Arabidopsis thaliana: one gene and its partners. The protein of the gene in region 1 interacts with the protein of each later gene in a pairwise test. Each region holds a gene or a part of one and is shown in the gene's direction. Other genes may lie near its edges.

Evidence for each region. Proteins that work in one complex are often made in the same cells at the same time.
Region 2: the proteins of ERL2 (region 1) and PRA1.E interact in a protein complementation assay, tested with the Arabidopsis thaliana proteins (one large-scale study listed by BioGRID).
Region 3: the proteins of ERL2 (region 1) and AT4G10080 interact in a protein complementation assay, tested with the Arabidopsis thaliana proteins (one large-scale study listed by BioGRID).

The regions. Positions count from the first base shown.
Region 1 is NC_003076.8:2,227,554-2,235,375, reverse strand, and holds the start of ERL2 (ERECTA-like 2), read left to right. Parts: upstream 1-1,788; 5' UTR 1,789-2,143; coding exon 2,144-2,237; intron 2,238-2,647; coding exon 2,648-2,786; intron 2,787-2,848; exon of another isoform or gene 2,849-2,881; coding exon 2,882-2,953; intron 2,954-3,041; coding exon 3,042-3,113; intron 3,114-3,199; coding exon 3,200-3,271; intron 3,272-3,354; coding exon 3,355-3,426; intron 3,427-3,522; coding exon 3,523-3,594; intron 3,595-3,671; coding exon 3,672-3,743; intron 3,744-3,831; coding exon 3,832-3,903; intron 3,904-3,978; coding exon 3,979-4,047; intron 4,048-4,133; coding exon 4,134-4,205; intron 4,206-4,296; coding exon 4,297-4,368; intron 4,369-4,453; coding exon 4,454-4,525; intron 4,526-4,600; coding exon 4,601-4,672; intron 4,673-4,747; coding exon 4,748-4,819; intron 4,820-4,915; coding exon 4,916-4,987; intron 4,988-5,074; coding exon 5,075-5,146; intron 5,147-5,238; coding exon 5,239-5,310; intron 5,311-5,395; coding exon 5,396-5,467; and 17 more. UniProt on the Arabidopsis thaliana protein: Receptor kinase that regulates inflorescence architecture and organ shape as well as stomatal patterning, including density and clustering, together with ERL1 and ER.
Region 2 is NC_003070.9:2,806,991-2,810,302, forward strand, and holds PRA1.E (prenylated RAB acceptor 1.E), read left to right. Parts: upstream 1-1,769; 5' UTR 1,770-1,942; coding exon 1,943-2,572; 3' UTR 2,573-2,785; downstream 2,786-3,312. Other genes in the region: AT1G08760 (GPI-anchored adhesin-like protein, putative (DUF936)), read left to right, coding at 1-67, 321-412, 552-1,419; AIP3 (ABI3-interacting protein 3), read right to left, coding at 2,935-3,195. UniProt on the Arabidopsis thaliana protein: May be involved in both secretory and endocytic intracellular trafficking in the endosomal/prevacuolar compartments.
Region 3 is NC_003075.7:6,299,492-6,304,465, reverse strand, and holds AT4G10080 (uncharacterized protein), read left to right. Parts: upstream 1-1,721; 5' UTR 1,722-1,905; coding exon 1,906-2,757; intron 2,758-3,886; coding exon 3,887-4,012; 3' UTR 4,013-4,447; downstream 4,448-4,974. Other genes in the region: AT4G10070 (KH domain-containing protein), read left to right, coding at 4,707-4,872.

The DNA.
Region 1 (7,822 bases):
GGTCTTCTTACATATTAGAGCCATGCACCGTTCGAGTCTAAAAGCCTAGAGTTGCTTATACAGCTGAACCTCCACAAGACTTATATAAATCTTGTGGATATACGAGCCCCCGTCTCCTTTTACGTTTTTGTGGATTTACATAAATCTTTATGGTCACCGAGTCTACTGATATAATTTTACTGTCGCAGTTTGTTTCCACTACTTAAGTTTCTATAATTTCACAGTTTGAAAGAAAAATTACTGGTTATTCAGCTAAATTACAAAGATTAGTTTAATTAGTTTAGCCAGTATAATGTTTTAGTAAAGTATTAAACGGCATTTTTCGTTGGGAGAATTATGTTATGGTATAATCTACTAATACATACTTTTACACATATATCAAAAAGTTTGACCATAGTAGGTAGTACAACATAGAAGAATCAAGATCGGAACCAGCAAGGAAGAAGATACGGTCGGTCCATATTAAGCTAAGAGGACCAACGTAACTCGATATATATTTTTCTGTTCTCTACGTTACCACCATATAAATTTTAATATTGAAAAAATCATCTTTTGGCATTGTGTTTGATGTCGGATTCGGAATATGGAAAGAGGAGAGATATGAGATTTTGGCACAAAGGAAGCTGCCAAAGCATTAGGGCAACCGAGTAGTAACGAGATCAAACATCGTTTCAATCGGACGGTCGGGGTTTGACCAATATTTCTCGGATATCTTTTGGACCCTACGTTCTGACTTGAACTTGATCAGTCACTTCAGTACCTTAGTTTTCATTTTCAATGTGATCATGAGTTTTTTTTTACATGTTAGCTTCAAAACAAATACTAATATTCATTAACTATGGATCGGCATAGTTTTCATGTAATCAGCTGAGCGTTTATCATATTGATTGAAGCTAACATGTAAAATTCTCATGATCACATTGACTTTTGCCTACAAATTTTAAAAGAGTATACAAATAATTGCTTAATGAAGATAGCTTCCATAGAGAAAGAGTAACAGCTTTATACGGAGGCATAGCTTTAGACACGATCTCTGCTCTTGTGTTTTTTGTTTAACACTGAATCCACAGTGAAATTACTGCTCATTTTTTTTCATTTTTTATTACATTTTTTTTTTTACTTTTTTATTTATTACAATCTACAGTTCTACCAACTTATTCAACCTAGTGGTACCATATCGACCCCAAAATTAATCAATCTAATTACAAGGTAGAAATAGAAAGATTTTATCAAAGGAGACAACTCTGATCGATAATATGTTGCAATAAAACCATGAAAAACTGTAAAAAATATTGAAAGCTGAAGAAAAATTTTCAAATCGATAAAAGGATAGTACTAAACCAATCCGGTTTGTGGCATCTTTTTCACCCAATCACTATCAAAGCATTAACTAAAAATCACAAGGAAGAGCATAATTTGATTCTCTACATCGCAGTCCACGATAGGATTTCTCTATCCACCGTTGGATCAAATTTAATAATGATGCACGCGCGCGTCAACGGGATTTTACCCAGCAAAGGAATGTCTTTTCACCGGACTCTTAAAAGACGTTCTTCTTTTTTCACCTTTGCATTGGAAAACGGCGTTTCTTCTTAGAACCGTCGCCGTCAAATCATACGGCCTAATAAATCTCCGTTTAACGCCGTTACTTTACCGTTAAGTACTAAAAAAACAAAAAAAAATCATTTCGATCACTGTCTCATTAAGATGATCGGAGATGTTTTAGCAGGGTTTAACAAGTGATGATAGTAATGTATGTATATATGTTACTGACATTATTTTGTCGTTGTCTAATAGGAGGGTACTAAAGTTTCTCTCTCTCATGGCGTCGGAGCTCAGCCTCTAGTAATGTAGACTGTCCTCTCTTTCTCTCTCTCTTCTTTAAACATCTCTGCTCTGTTTTCCTTCCAGTTCACGCTAATCTCCTGTGTCGGTCCCCTCTCTCTTTTCCTTTGGTCTCTCCCAACAATGGCAGAACGACTTTGTACCCTTCTTTTGCTCTTTGTTTGAATTTCGTTTCTTGCTACAAAGCTTCAAAGGATCTGACTTTTCCCTAAACAGAAAAAGAGGTCTTTAACCAAAAAAGGTTGTTACTTGTTTTCTGGGTTTCGTGGTGTTACTCTTGAGGAAGAAGAAGAAGAAGATGAGAAGGATAGAGACCATGAAAGGCTTGTTTTTTTGTCTGGGGATGGTGGTTTTCATGCTACTTGGTTCTGTTTCTCCAATGAACAACGAAGGTTCTAGCTCTTTCAAAATCTCTTTTGTTTCTCTATTGTTCCATGAGCCAGAGAGATTTCTCTCTTTTTTTTCCAGAGAACTTGAATTTTTATAAATTTGTAACCTTTCTTCCGATTTTGAAGATATCATATCTGTTTATCTGTCTATCTAAACAGTGACTGTTCCTGAGAGAGCAAAAGTCATTTGATTCGTTCTTAAAAAAAACTTACTTTAGTGTTTTTGGAAATATGATAATAATTTGTGACCTAGCTCACTTCACAGTTGAGTTTATTATACTAATGATCTAGTGGGGTTTTAGTTTTTGGCATGTGGTTCATATTTTACCATTTGACTATCATCAGTGTCAAATGATTAAATAAGCTTTTTTTGATTTGTTTATTGACTTCAAAAAGCTTTTGATTTTGCACAGGAAAAGCGTTGATGGCGATAAAGGCTTCATTCAGCAACGTGGCGAATATGCTTCTTGATTGGGACGATGTTCATAACCACGACTTTTGTTCTTGGAGAGGTGTCTTCTGTGATAACGTTAGCCTCAATGTTGTCTCTCTGTAAGGATTTTTTTTTTATCTCATTCCGTATTGTTGTGCTGTCTCTTTGATTTCAGACTTTTCTGATTTGCCTTTGTTTTTTTTTATGTTGGAAGTAATCTGTCAAACCTGAATCTTGGTGGAGAGATATCATCTGCCCTTGGAGATTTGATGAATCTGCAATCAATGTTCGTTTCTCTTCTCTCTTTTACTTGTATGTTTGAGAAGAAACATGGTGTTAAATCCTTATGAAGCTCTGGTCTTTCTTAATTACAGAGACTTGCAAGGAAATAAATTGGGTGGTCAAATTCCAGATGAGATTGGAAACTGTGTTTCTCTTGCTTATGTGTAAGTTTTGTTTGATGCTTGTAGTTTCATGTTAATGAGAACTTAATCTATCTCTATTATATAATCAAAAACCTTTCTTGTTTCAGGGATTTCTCCACCAATTTGTTGTTTGGAGACATACCGTTTTCAATCTCTAAACTCAAACAGCTGGAGTTTCTGTATGTCTTCTTATCTCTCTCATTCGTGTGTAATCTTTGCCTGATTTTGGCGTTTTTTTGTCAACTGTTTCATTCTAATGCAGGAACCTAAAGAATAATCAGCTCACTGGTCCAATACCAGCAACCTTAACTCAGATTCCAAACCTTAAGACCCTGTGAGTTTCAATCAGATAATATTCTATCTATGAAGCAGGTTATTTAATGCAAAGGGATCATTGCAATGATAATAGATTATTCTCATGATTTTGCAGTGACCTCGCAAGAAACCAGCTTACTGGTGAGATACCAAGGTTACTCTACTGGAATGAAGTTTTACAGTATCTGTAAGTAGTTCATCTACTTATCTTAAGTCTAGGCATCCAGAGATTTATGTTCTGATTGTGATGTATTCATTTTGCAGCGGTTTACGTGGGAATATGTTAACTGGGACATTGTCTCCTGATATGTGTCAGCTGACGGGTCTGTGGTACTTGTAAGTGAATCCGGTTCAGCTCTTTATTTTCTTTTACTCTCAACCTCAGATTTCGAGTAATTTATAAGTGAATGTTTGTTGTTGTTAGTGATGTGAGAGGCAACAACCTTACTGGAACTATCCCAGAGAGCATTGGCAATTGCACAAGCTTTGAGATCTTGTATGTGTCTTCTCCTTAAGGAATGAATATTCAGCACAGAACTCGAGTGATCTTATTCGTCATTTGCATTTTCAGGGATGTATCTTATAATCAGATTACCGGAGTTATACCCTACAATATTGGTTTCCTCCAAGTAGCTACTCTGTAAGTATTGTTAAGACCATCTTACACTTTTGTGTGGTTTGTTAAAGCATGTCAATATGGTTAAGTGGTGATGGGTTCTCTTGCAGGTCACTTCAAGGAAACAAGTTGACTGGCAGAATTCCGGAAGTGATTGGTCTGATGCAGGCTCTTGCTGTATTGTATGTCATTTTCATATTCAAATGCTTGCTTTTTTCCTACTCTCGTTTCTTGCTCTTCTGACTGAATGAAATAAACTTATCCAATGCGCAGGGATTTGAGTGACAATGAATTAACTGGGCCTATTCCACCAATACTTGGGAATCTGTCATTCACTGGAAAACTGTGAGTCCCTTTTTTTTTCTTCCCTCTGTGTCATGCATATGTTCAGATCTTCACATATATGGATAATGTCTTTTCTTGAAAATAGGTATCTCCATGGCAACAAGCTCACTGGACAAATCCCACCCGAGCTAGGCAATATGTCACGACTCAGCTATTTGTAAGATTGAGAACTTGAAACTCCAATATCTGTTCTTCTCAATACTTGATCTTATGAGGGTTTACTCTTTCGCAGGCAACTAAATGATAATGAACTAGTGGGAAAGATCCCACCTGAGCTTGGGAAGCTGGAACAATTGTTCGAACTGTGAGTTTTTATCCTTCAGTATACTTAAATTTTTATCTTAGGTGAAAAGCTGGTTGATGTAACTTTGCCATCTAGGAATCTTGCGAACAACAATCTTGTAGGGCTGATTCCATCTAACATTAGTTCCTGTGCTGCCTTGAATCAATTGTAAGATATGATATGAACCCTTTCCCATTTTATGCTTCTCTCTATTTTTCTTCTTCTTATCTTAATGAAAACTTATTGTGCTTTTATTGTGTTCAGCAATGTTCATGGGAACTTCTTGAGTGGAGCTGTACCACTTGAATTCCGGAATCTTGGAAGCTTGACTTATCTGTAAGCTTCAATGACTGCATGTACAGTATGATTATGTATTCGAACTATTAGTCTGTGTAAATCTTGATTCAATGCTGTAAATTGCAGAAATCTTTCCTCAAACAGTTTCAAGGGCAAAATACCTGCTGAGCTTGGCCATATCATCAATCTTGATACATTGTATGTTATTTTCTACTGATTTACATCCATGTTCCGCCTAGTTACCTACTGATATGTGTACCAACTACCAACTCATACAAACTTTGTTTCAGGGATCTGTCTGGCAACAATTTCTCAGGCTCAATTCCATTAACACTTGGTGATCTTGAGCATCTTCTCATCTTGTATGTCTTCATCAAGCCCTAAAGTTGCACTGCTTTGCATTAACTCTCTCAGATTTGTTGACTTGAGTTTTGTTTTAATTGTCAGAAACTTGAGCAGAAATCATCTGAATGGCACATTGCCTGCAGAATTCGGGAACCTCCGAAGCATTCAGATCATGTAAGGCTTGTCTTATGCTTAGATTTCTTCTGTTATGATAAAATCTTCCTACTTACAAACTTTTCTCCATCCTTCTCAGCGATGTGTCATTTAATTTTCTTGCCGGTGTTATTCCAACTGAACTTGGCCAGTTGCAGAACATAAACTCTCTGTAAGTAAACCATCACTTCTCCTCTGCAATTTACCGTATAATGCATATAAATAATTCTTCTTTGCTTCTTTAATGTACAGGATACTGAACAACAACAAGATTCATGGGAAAATCCCTGATCAGCTAACTAACTGCTTCAGTCTTGCCAATCTGTACGTGTTCCTTTGTTACAACAAGATGTGTACTCTCAGATAATCTTATGATCATTTCTGAATTCATATATTTTTCCTGCTCGTTCTTTATACATTGTAGGAACATCTCCTTCAATAATCTTTCTGGAATAATCCCACCTATGAAGAACTTTACACGTTTTTCCCCGGCCAGGTATCACCTTTGCCATATTGTTACCTGTCTTAGCTTTTCATATAATCAGTATACCAAATATACCTTTTCGTTTATAGCTTCTTTGGAAATCCATTTCTCTGCGGGAACTGGGTTGGATCAATCTGTGGCCCATCTTTACCTAAGTCACAAGGTATATGAATCTGCATTTATCCTATTGCATTGTTTTTAGCTGACATATCTCTCACTACATTTCTTGCTCTTGACCAACCAGTATTCACCAGAGTTGCCGTGATTTGTATGGTTCTCGGTTTCATCACTCTCATATGCATGATATTCATTGCGGTTTACAAGTCAAAGCAGCAGAAACCAGTCTTGAAAGGCTCTTCAAAACAACCTGAAGGTCTTGGTCTCATAGTTTATGATCTCTTCTCTTTCGTTCATTAAGATTCACAACAGCATTATGATATATCTTGTATGGATCCTTCAGGGTCAACGAAGCTGGTGATTCTTCACATGGACATGGCTATTCACACGTTTGATGATATCATGAGAGTTACAGAAAACCTCGATGAGAAATACATCATTGGATACGGTGCTTCTAGCACAGTTTACAAGTGCACCTCCAAAACTTCCCGACCTATTGCCATTAAGCGAATCTACAATCAGTATCCCAGCAACTTCCGCGAGTTTGAAACAGAGCTCGAGACCATTGGGAGCATCAGACACAGAAACATAGTAAGCTTGCACGGATACGCCTTATCTCCCTTTGGCAACCTCCTCTTCTACGACTACATGGAAAATGGCTCTCTTTGGGATCTTCTCCATGGTTTGCTATTCTTCTTCTCTTGGACCAGTTACGTTCTTTTCAGCCAGTTTTCTACTTTTGGAAGACTTAAACGTAGTGATTGTATGATGCAGGGCCTGGGAAGAAGGTGAAGCTTGACTGGGAAACAAGGCTGAAGATAGCTGTTGGAGCTGCGCAAGGACTTGCATATCTTCACCATGACTGCACACCTAGGATAATCCATCGAGACATCAAGTCATCAAACATACTCCTTGATGGGAATTTCGAAGCGCGTTTGTCAGATTTTGGGATTGCCAAGAGCATACCAGCCACCAAAACTTATGCTTCAACCTATGTTCTTGGAACCATTGGATATATTGACCCAGAGTATGCTCGAACTTCGCGTCTGAACGAGAAGTCTGATATCTACAGTTTCGGTATTGTCCTTCTTGAGCTTCTAACCGGCAAGAAGGCTGTGGATAACGAGGCCAACTTGCATCAAATGGTATGAATTTGAGTATAAAGTGTTTCACAAGTTTATTCTTGGAAACAATTTGATATCATTAACTTTTTTGTTGCAGATTCTATCAAAGGCGGATGATAACACAGTAATGGAAGCTGTTGATGCAGAGGTCTCAGTGACTTGCATGGACTCAGGACACATCAAGAAAACATTTCAGCTAGCTCTCTTGTGCACCAAGCGAAATCCTTTGGAGAGACCCACCATGCAGGAGGTCTCTAGGGTTCTGCTCTCACTTGTCCCGTCTCCACCTCCAAAGAAGTTACCGTCGCCTGCAAAAGTACAGGAAGGGGAAGAACGGCGTGAGAGCCACTCTTCAGATACAACAACCCCACAGTGGTTTGTTCAGTTCCGTGAAGATATCTCCAAAAGTAGCTTATAAGATAATAACTTTTAGGGTTCCCTTTTCTGTTGTGTTCTTGTATGTCAAGAAAGATCGGAGGGGCAGGTTTTTAAGTGATTTAGGGCTAGTATGAGGGGTATTTTGGGAAGGGAGATAAAATTGAAGGCATTAAAGATAAGAACATGGGATAGGTGAAAGAGTAGGTGAAGTTAATTGTTTTTCCAATGGACATCTTCACGAGTTCGTTAAAAGTCTTTCAATCTCCTCTTTAA
Region 2 (3,312 bases), on another chromosome or scaffold:
TAAAAGATTAGCGGCGGCCAATATCCAATGGAGTTCACTCCCTCCATCTCTTTCGAGGATGGGACAGGTATGGCCTTGACTGCTCTTGGATCCTTATATGTGCTTGCTTCATTAATAGGCTTTGAAGCATTTCTAGTGATTAAGAAAATTCATCTTCAAAACAAGCAGTTTAGAAATTCGATCATCCAAACTAACATATTTACTCTGGTGATTGAAGAGAACCTCTTAGTATAGCATATGCATCTTATGTTTTGGTCTTTGACATCGTGATTAAATATTAAGACAGCTTATTGAGTCATTGCTGCTATCAATATTTGCAGGAAGTATTGAGGCATAGAGAAGCTGCTCAAGTAGTCGCAATAGAGGCCCTGCAAGAAGCCTCTGCTTCCGAGAGCTTACTTCAGTGCCTCATGTGCGTAATATCTTAACCAAGTTTTATTCAGGCCGGCTTTGGATGTTTGAGGGACAAAACATAAATGTTTTTTGTATCTGAATGTTATTGTTACTGCCTTGGTGGTTTCTGAACTTTGTTCTGCTTTTCCTTTTTGTAGTATGTACTCCGATCTTTTGTCAACGGCGAAGGAAGATGATCCATTGCCAGTCGTTGAGCAGTTCTTGAAGCTCCATTCCGGTTTGAAAAACGTCCAAGTAATAACAGAGTCATTGTCCAAATTACTCTCTTTGATGTCCTCCCCAGATAATGAAGAAAACAGATCCGAGGAAGCTATAAAAGCGGCATCGGAAAAGCAGAAATTGGCAGCCTCATGGGTCCAAGCTGCGTTAGTCACTAACTTATCGCCCTTCTCTGTCTACTCCAGCAAACAAGCCAAACTTGCTGCCTCCAGGAGCAAACCCGTGATCATACTCGAGAGCCCGGGTAATAATTCCTCTAGTAAAACCCGTGGGAATATTCAAAACAAGCCAACGATTGGATCTAAACTCGTAGCACAAGGAATGATCCGTAAACACAGGGAGAACAGTAGCAGCCAGAAAGCCACCTCGGTAGCAGGGTCAGAGTCTCCACCGTTAAACTGGGTGAAAGGGAATGGTCTAAACGAGGCAACTGATCTGGCAGAGAAGTTGCAAATGGTTTCACAAGATTGGTTTTTGGGTTTCGTAGAGAGATTCTTAGACGCTGACGTGATTACATCATCCAGTCTCAGTCTGTCTGATAATGGGCAGATTGCGGGGATGCTGTCTCAGCTGAAGAGTGTGAATGATTGGTTAGACGAGATTGGATCGAAAGAGGATGAAGAAGGGTTACAAGAAGTCTCTAAGGAAACAATCGATCGATTACGGAAGAAGATCTACGAGTATCTGCTCACACATGTGGAGTCAGCAGCTGCAGCACTTGGTGGTGGTGGTGGCTCAGTCTCTTCTCCTAGACCTAAACCAATCGAAACCAAAGCAAAGAGATAAATGATGATGAAGAAGCTTCTACTTGTTTTTTTTTTTTCTTGTATATATGAAAATTGGCGGTCAATTTCTTCTGTATAATTCAGGCATCACTAAGAAGCCTACCGACGTGAAATGTTGGTATTTTTTATTCAGTCAGATACTCACTAAAGAGAACCTATTGGTTCGAAAGATTTCAACATATTTTTTATCCATTAATAACGATATCTCTTCTCTAGCGATTAAAGATTAGAAGATCAGCAAAAACAAAAATATCATTAGAAGACTTAGATCCATCACAATTCTGTAATTTTACAAAAACTATGACGATTCATGATTATGTGGAAATAGAGGCGATCGGTAAAAGTTGATTTGTTTATGGTTTATTTGTAATAATAAAAAAACTACAAGGTCCCAAAAGAAAATAATAATCACCGAACAAGTCCCTCCCATCATCCCATATTCCACATGGACTCTTTGAAATCCAAGGTTTTGCCATTTGACCACAGATTTGTGTTATTTTCAAACACAAAATCAACCAATTCCGATGAATCAGAAACCTCCGCCGTACGGTTATGGCGGCGCTGGTGGTGGAGGAGTCGGTCCTTCTTCCACTTCCAACACCACAATCATCGGGACGTTGAGTGCACGCGCCAAGCAGACGACGCAATCGATGATCACGACGCTCCGTCCATGGCGAGAGATTCTCGATCTGTCCGCGCTCTCTCTCCCTCGCGGGTATGATGAAGCCATGGCGCATCTAAAGCACAACATCTCTTATTTCCGTGGAAATTACGCTCTCGCCGTTCTCGCCATTGTTTTCCTCGGCCTTATTTACCATCCGATGTCTATGATCGCTTTCATCGTCGTCTTCATCGGATGGATTCTTCTCTATTTCTCTCGAGACGCAAACGATTCGATTGTGATTTCGGGGAAAGAAGTAGATGACAAGATCGTGCTGGTTTTACTCAGCTTGGTAACGGTTTTGGCATTGGTATATACAGATGTGGGCGAAAACGTTCTGGTTTCGCTGATCATTGGTTTGCTCATCGTCGGAGCTCACGGCGCTTTTCGTAATACCGATGATTTGTTTCTTGATGAAGAAAGTGCTCGCCGTGGTGGCCTGGTGTCTGCCGGTTCTGGTAACCGGCCACCGTCGAGTTATACCCCAATTTGAGTAAACCGGTTTGGAGAATTACTCGTAATTTCTTGGGTTTTTGATTGAAGAAGCTAAGGGAATCAATTTAGGGCTTTGTATTTTGGATTTCCCAAAGATTCTTGTATTTATATTTTGGCGTGTGTGTTTCATTTTGTTTGAATGTATACAAATTCTGGGAAAAAACAAATTGGTGTTATGGTATTTTATAGAATTGCCAAAAACATAATTTCCGATAGAAAAAGAAAAGTATGCATTAACCAGATGAAATTTCATAATGAACAAAACCAGTATGTTAAATTCAAGAATCCTTTGGTCTACACTCACAGTAGAATCATAAACTGATGCAATAGAAGAAAAACAAAGTTGGGAATAACTACTAACTAGTCTTCTTCAAGATTGATAGAATCTTTGAACTTAGCATACAATACCTTCTTCAGCGCTGCCATTTGTGTTACAATTGATTCCTTCTCTTGCTCGAGTTTCTCAAGGCTTTTGCAGGTCGCTTCTTTCATCTCTTCTATCTTTGTTTCTACGTCGTCCCTCGGCACATGAGCAAACACTTCTCCTATTTGAAAACGCACCATCTCCTCATCAGCAAGGATCAACTCGTTCCCTGCATCCTCTAGATTTTCACACTTTTCCTGCATAAATCAATTGTTTTTTAATCAAGCTAGATGCAGAAACACACAGTAGAATGCTGTTTTAATCCCCCTAATGAAACGATTGAACAAGACAAGTATCCACTTATTATTGCAAAG
Region 3 (4,974 bases), on another chromosome or scaffold:
TACAAGACTATCATGCTGACATGTCGTAACCAGAAAAACTTTCAACAAACTTAATAGTTATCCAATATTTACTAGACTAATTACATATAATGCCATTAGTGGTACTTATGCATATTTTTCCTCTACATTTAAGAGAGTAGCAATTAATAAAGAAAATTAATCAAAAAACCATATATATTTGAGCAAACAAGTAAAAAGTATATATCATAAATTATGATGAACAACATATAATATAAATGTTTATTATATGTTTCGTACTTTATTTTTTTAGGTTTTATAGAAAACATTTAGAATTTTAACATATATGACATTCTATTTTTTTGTTATAAATTGCAAAAAATCTAAATGTATATGTGAGCCCATATGATTCTTGAATATATTCGGAACATAGTTTTACATAAATTAGTTAGTAACATTTCATTTATTACACATTCACTATGAACAATATTTCAATATTAATCTATGTTAAAAATGTATCCGCTTACTGATTACTTTCAATATTATTTCTTTTCAAATTTTTACCTTATCAATTTATTAAAACTTTTACACAGTTTATTCAATTTAATTAGTCATTTACTCATTTTAGTTAAAATTTATTTACAACCCAAAACCTTATCGTAACAATATAAATTGATTAATAAAATAAGGGATATGCAATAAATCAATCCTAACTACATAGAATTATGAAGAATAATAAAAGATAATCAAAAATTTATTACGTTTAAAACATAATTATTCATACTCTTTTCAGTTTTTATATTGAATTGTTTCCAAAATAAAATCTTATAAAATACAAAAAATATTCGAATATATTTCTGAATTATAGGAATGATATTTCAGATTTTCTTTTGGGTCAATATTTTAATTTAAAATCTTATTCCAAATATAGAATATCCTAATTCCTAACTAATAAAATCTCCAAAATATATCAGTTACTAAATCATATTCAAATATTCACACTTATATATCAAGTGATAATATAAAATCTGTTTCCAAAAACTTGTTTATATATTTCATATAACTATTTCTCCCTGTACATAGTTCGGGTAAATCATCTAGTATTTGATTAATTCATTTGATCTGCACCATACGATTCGTCGTGAACCCTAATTAAATCATTGTGAAAAACCAAAAAAATGAAAGAACAAAAGGAATAAATACCATACTTCTCTCAATCTACCAACCTTTAATGTCAAAAGATCTAGTTGAGTACTGAGAATGTTACGTGACCAATTAGATACCTCTACATAACTACTTCCTCAAAGTGGATAAGAACCATTCTTTTCGAAACAAACTAAACTATTAGAGACTAAACCATTTAATTTTGGAGCGGACAATAATCCGTTATAAACTAAATTTATTTCTATATAAAATCGGTCTAAAGTTTTTACCGATTTTTTTTTTCTATATTTTTGGTCAGTACTATTATAAATACTAATCTATAAATAATAAATAAGAAAATATTTCAATCTACCGATGGATTTATTTGCAAAACCCACCTCAACCGTTTGAATCTTGATTATATATATTTTTCTTACATCGTCTACTCTATTTTAACCGATACATATTTGTTTAATTCATTTGATCCGCACCATACGATTTATTGCCGAATCCTAATTAAATCGTTTTAAAAAATAAAATAAAAATGAAAGAACAAAATGAATAAATACTATAGTTCTCTGAATCTACTAAACTTTAATGCCAAAAAATTTAGTTGAGGACTGAGATTGACACGCAACCAATTAGATACCTCCACGTAATTACTTTCTCAAAGTGGATAAGAACCATTCTTTTCCATCATCAACCGCTCTAATTTGTTGCGATCCTTTTCCAATATTTGGGGTTTTATCCATTAGGGTTTCTGATTATTGCAATCCCAATCTGAAATCTTCGAATTCGATCATCATGGATGATTGGGAGCTTCTTCATCATGGCTCTGATACAGAATCAACTGATTCAATCACATCGGAGACGAAATTAGAGAGTTCAAGCGTAATCGATGACGGTATGATTCTTTCTGATCATTTCTCTGCTACTGATCGGGTGATTGAATCGGGTTATTTTGATTCTTTTCGGGTTGATTACGGGTCGGAGTGTCTGAATCCGGGTGAGGTTAGTGTTGATTCTGGTTTGGATCAGTTCAGTGTTAGTCAATCGGGTGATGATTGTGTCAGAAATGAATTTGGGGTTTATGATTCAGAAACTGGAATTTTGGGTGATGGTGAGGTTAGGCTTAGTGATTTTGAAGCTGCCAATGAGAAATATGTTGAGAGCGAAGCTGCTACTGAATTAACTGGTGGAACCGTATCTCACTATGAAACAGAGAATCTCGAAGAATTCGTTGATGGAAGGCACGGTGAGAACGAATCGGGTGTTGAAGAACCTATTGAGGATTCGAGCAAGTTGTGTTCTGATTTAGGGGGAAATGAATTGGTTTCTCGAGATTCTGGGGTTGTGAATGGTGAAAAAGAAGTTGTTTCTGATAGTGTAGTTGCTTCTAGTGAAGTAATTGAGGGAAGTGGAGGAGATACTGTGGAAGTTGGAGGCGTGAGTTCTGGTGGTGAGGGTAAAAGTAGAGAGACTGTGTGGTGGAAGATGCCATTTGTGCTTCTTAAGTACTCTGTGTTTAGGATTGGTCCGGTTTGGTCTGTCTCTATGGCTGCTGCTGTGATGGGTTTGGTTCTCTTGGGACGTAGATTGTATAATATGAAGAAGAAAGCTCAAAGGTTCCATCTTAAAGTTACGATTGACGATAAGGTACACTATATTATCATTGACCCTTGTGTTTTCATTTTGCTTGAAGTTGGTAAGCTGGTCTAGATTGATACGTTTTAGGAGTTAGCTACACTCTATGTTGTGTTGATGCAATTGGTCTGACTTGAGCCGTAGAATTTCAAGTTTAGTTTAGTTCTTGTCTTGTCCTGCCTTATATTAAGGTGGGGGTATTGGACGCATGAATTTGATAGACTTCAATAGAATCTTAAATTCTAGTGTTATTCAATTAGACATTTCACAAATTCTTTTAAATTCTTGTGTTATTTAACTTGCTCATTTCTTAATTCTATTAGTTGCAAGTGTTATTCAGTTTTCGGTAGTTTTGTTTGACAACGTTACTTCACAAGAATTTAATAGAAAAATTGGTCTAAAATGTGAAGAACAAATTCTGAGTTTTTGAGTTGAGATTTGGATAGAATATAACACATCCATCCTTTTTTTCTCTTTCATCGATTTGCTTCAACCATACAAAAAAAATTCTCAAATCTGAGGGAGAGTGTTTAACACATTTATTAGAATCTGTGATTTCGATCCGGTTTATTCTTCGGATCATCATTCGTTCGATTATATATGAGGAGAGTGCGTTAATCTATAGAGAGCAGATGAGCGGAGGTTGTGATGACGTCGTTGTCGTTGTTGTCAAAATATGGATCTCTTCCATTTCATGTAAACGTCAACGTAGATTGTTTCTGGGTTAAGAGGTTTGTGAAGGAAAAAGTACAGTTTTTAGAGATTGGGCATGGTGGCTGTCCCGATAAAGAGCATTGTGGAACAAAAGATTTCAGTAATTTATCTTCTTAATTCTAGTAGAATTCTATTAAAAATACTGCAAAATATTTATTTGAATTGAGAAGAAAGATTCGAAATTCTTTTATTATACCTGAAAATCTAGAATTTATGTCCAATACCCCCCTCTAAGATATAGATTTTGTAGTTAATATGTTCTTGTAATCTGTCTGAATTAAGTACAAAAATACTGAGGCATCATCCGCTGAAAATGCTGTGATTTGATATTTTCCCTTAGCGCACATCTCTTTGCTTGGTTGGTATTTGTTTGGTGTTGGTTTACTTCTATCATTATCACGTCTTGGGTTGTTTATGATCTGTGCAGAAGGCGTCGCGGGTGATGAGTCAGGCTGCTCGACTCAATGAAGTGTTCACAGAGGTAAGAAGGGTCCCTGTGATCCGCCCTGCTCTACCATCGCCTGGCGCATGGCCGGTTTTGAGCCTTAGATGAGAAGCCGTTTTCTACAATACCTAGACACAGTGGAGAATCAATCATACAATGTCCATCACTTTATGTACCGTAAGAATACAAATACATGTGTTTATGTCGTACCTATGCATAAGTAGTAGTTTACCATCTTATGAAATCGCGTATGTGAGTCGTGTCCCAACCGTGGGATACACTGCAGAGTGATTACCGTAGCGATTTATGTATGTTCAGAGACTGAAAATCCCAGTTGGTAAGCCTTTTTCTATGTTTGATCTTAAGAATTTCATAAGCTATATGTGGGTTTTGTTATGGATTTCATTGGGGTTTCAAGCTTGTAAACTATTATAGAGAGGAGGACATAGTCCAAAGTCGATAAAACCACTACAATGGAAATAAAGACCCTACAAATTTCTACTATGTTGTCGATTCTACAAAATTTGAGTAGAAGCTATCGTCTCAACAACATCCCCTCGACGATCAACAAAGAAAACATCATTATTTTTGATAACTTTAAAAAAAAAACTGGTAGCCCATTTTTAGGCCCAATAAAAGCCCGAACATTATAAATAGACGTTAAAGCCTTAAACGTTACTTCTCCACCACCGTTCAGAGTCGCAACCCAAACTCTTTTCACTGCCGGAGATAATTCTCTTCTTCCCCAAACCCTACAGTACTCAGCTTTCCCTAAATTCCTCGCCGGACGATTCGTTTCCAGATGACGGAGGAAGATTTTGTTGTTATCTCTACGCCGCCTGTCGATCTCAAGCGAAAGCTCGACGAAGTTGAGCTTAATGGAAATATCGTGGATGATAGCAATCAAACATCTGATTCTTCTCAGGCTAAACGAGCGAAGCTAGAAGATGAAGCTCAAGATGGTTTAGGTGTTTCTGTCTCTTTGGCTTCTTATAAACTAAAGTTTTGATTTTTATGATGTTCTATGGTTATAGTTTTCAAAAAAAGAGATTTCTTTGAGTTTGTTGATA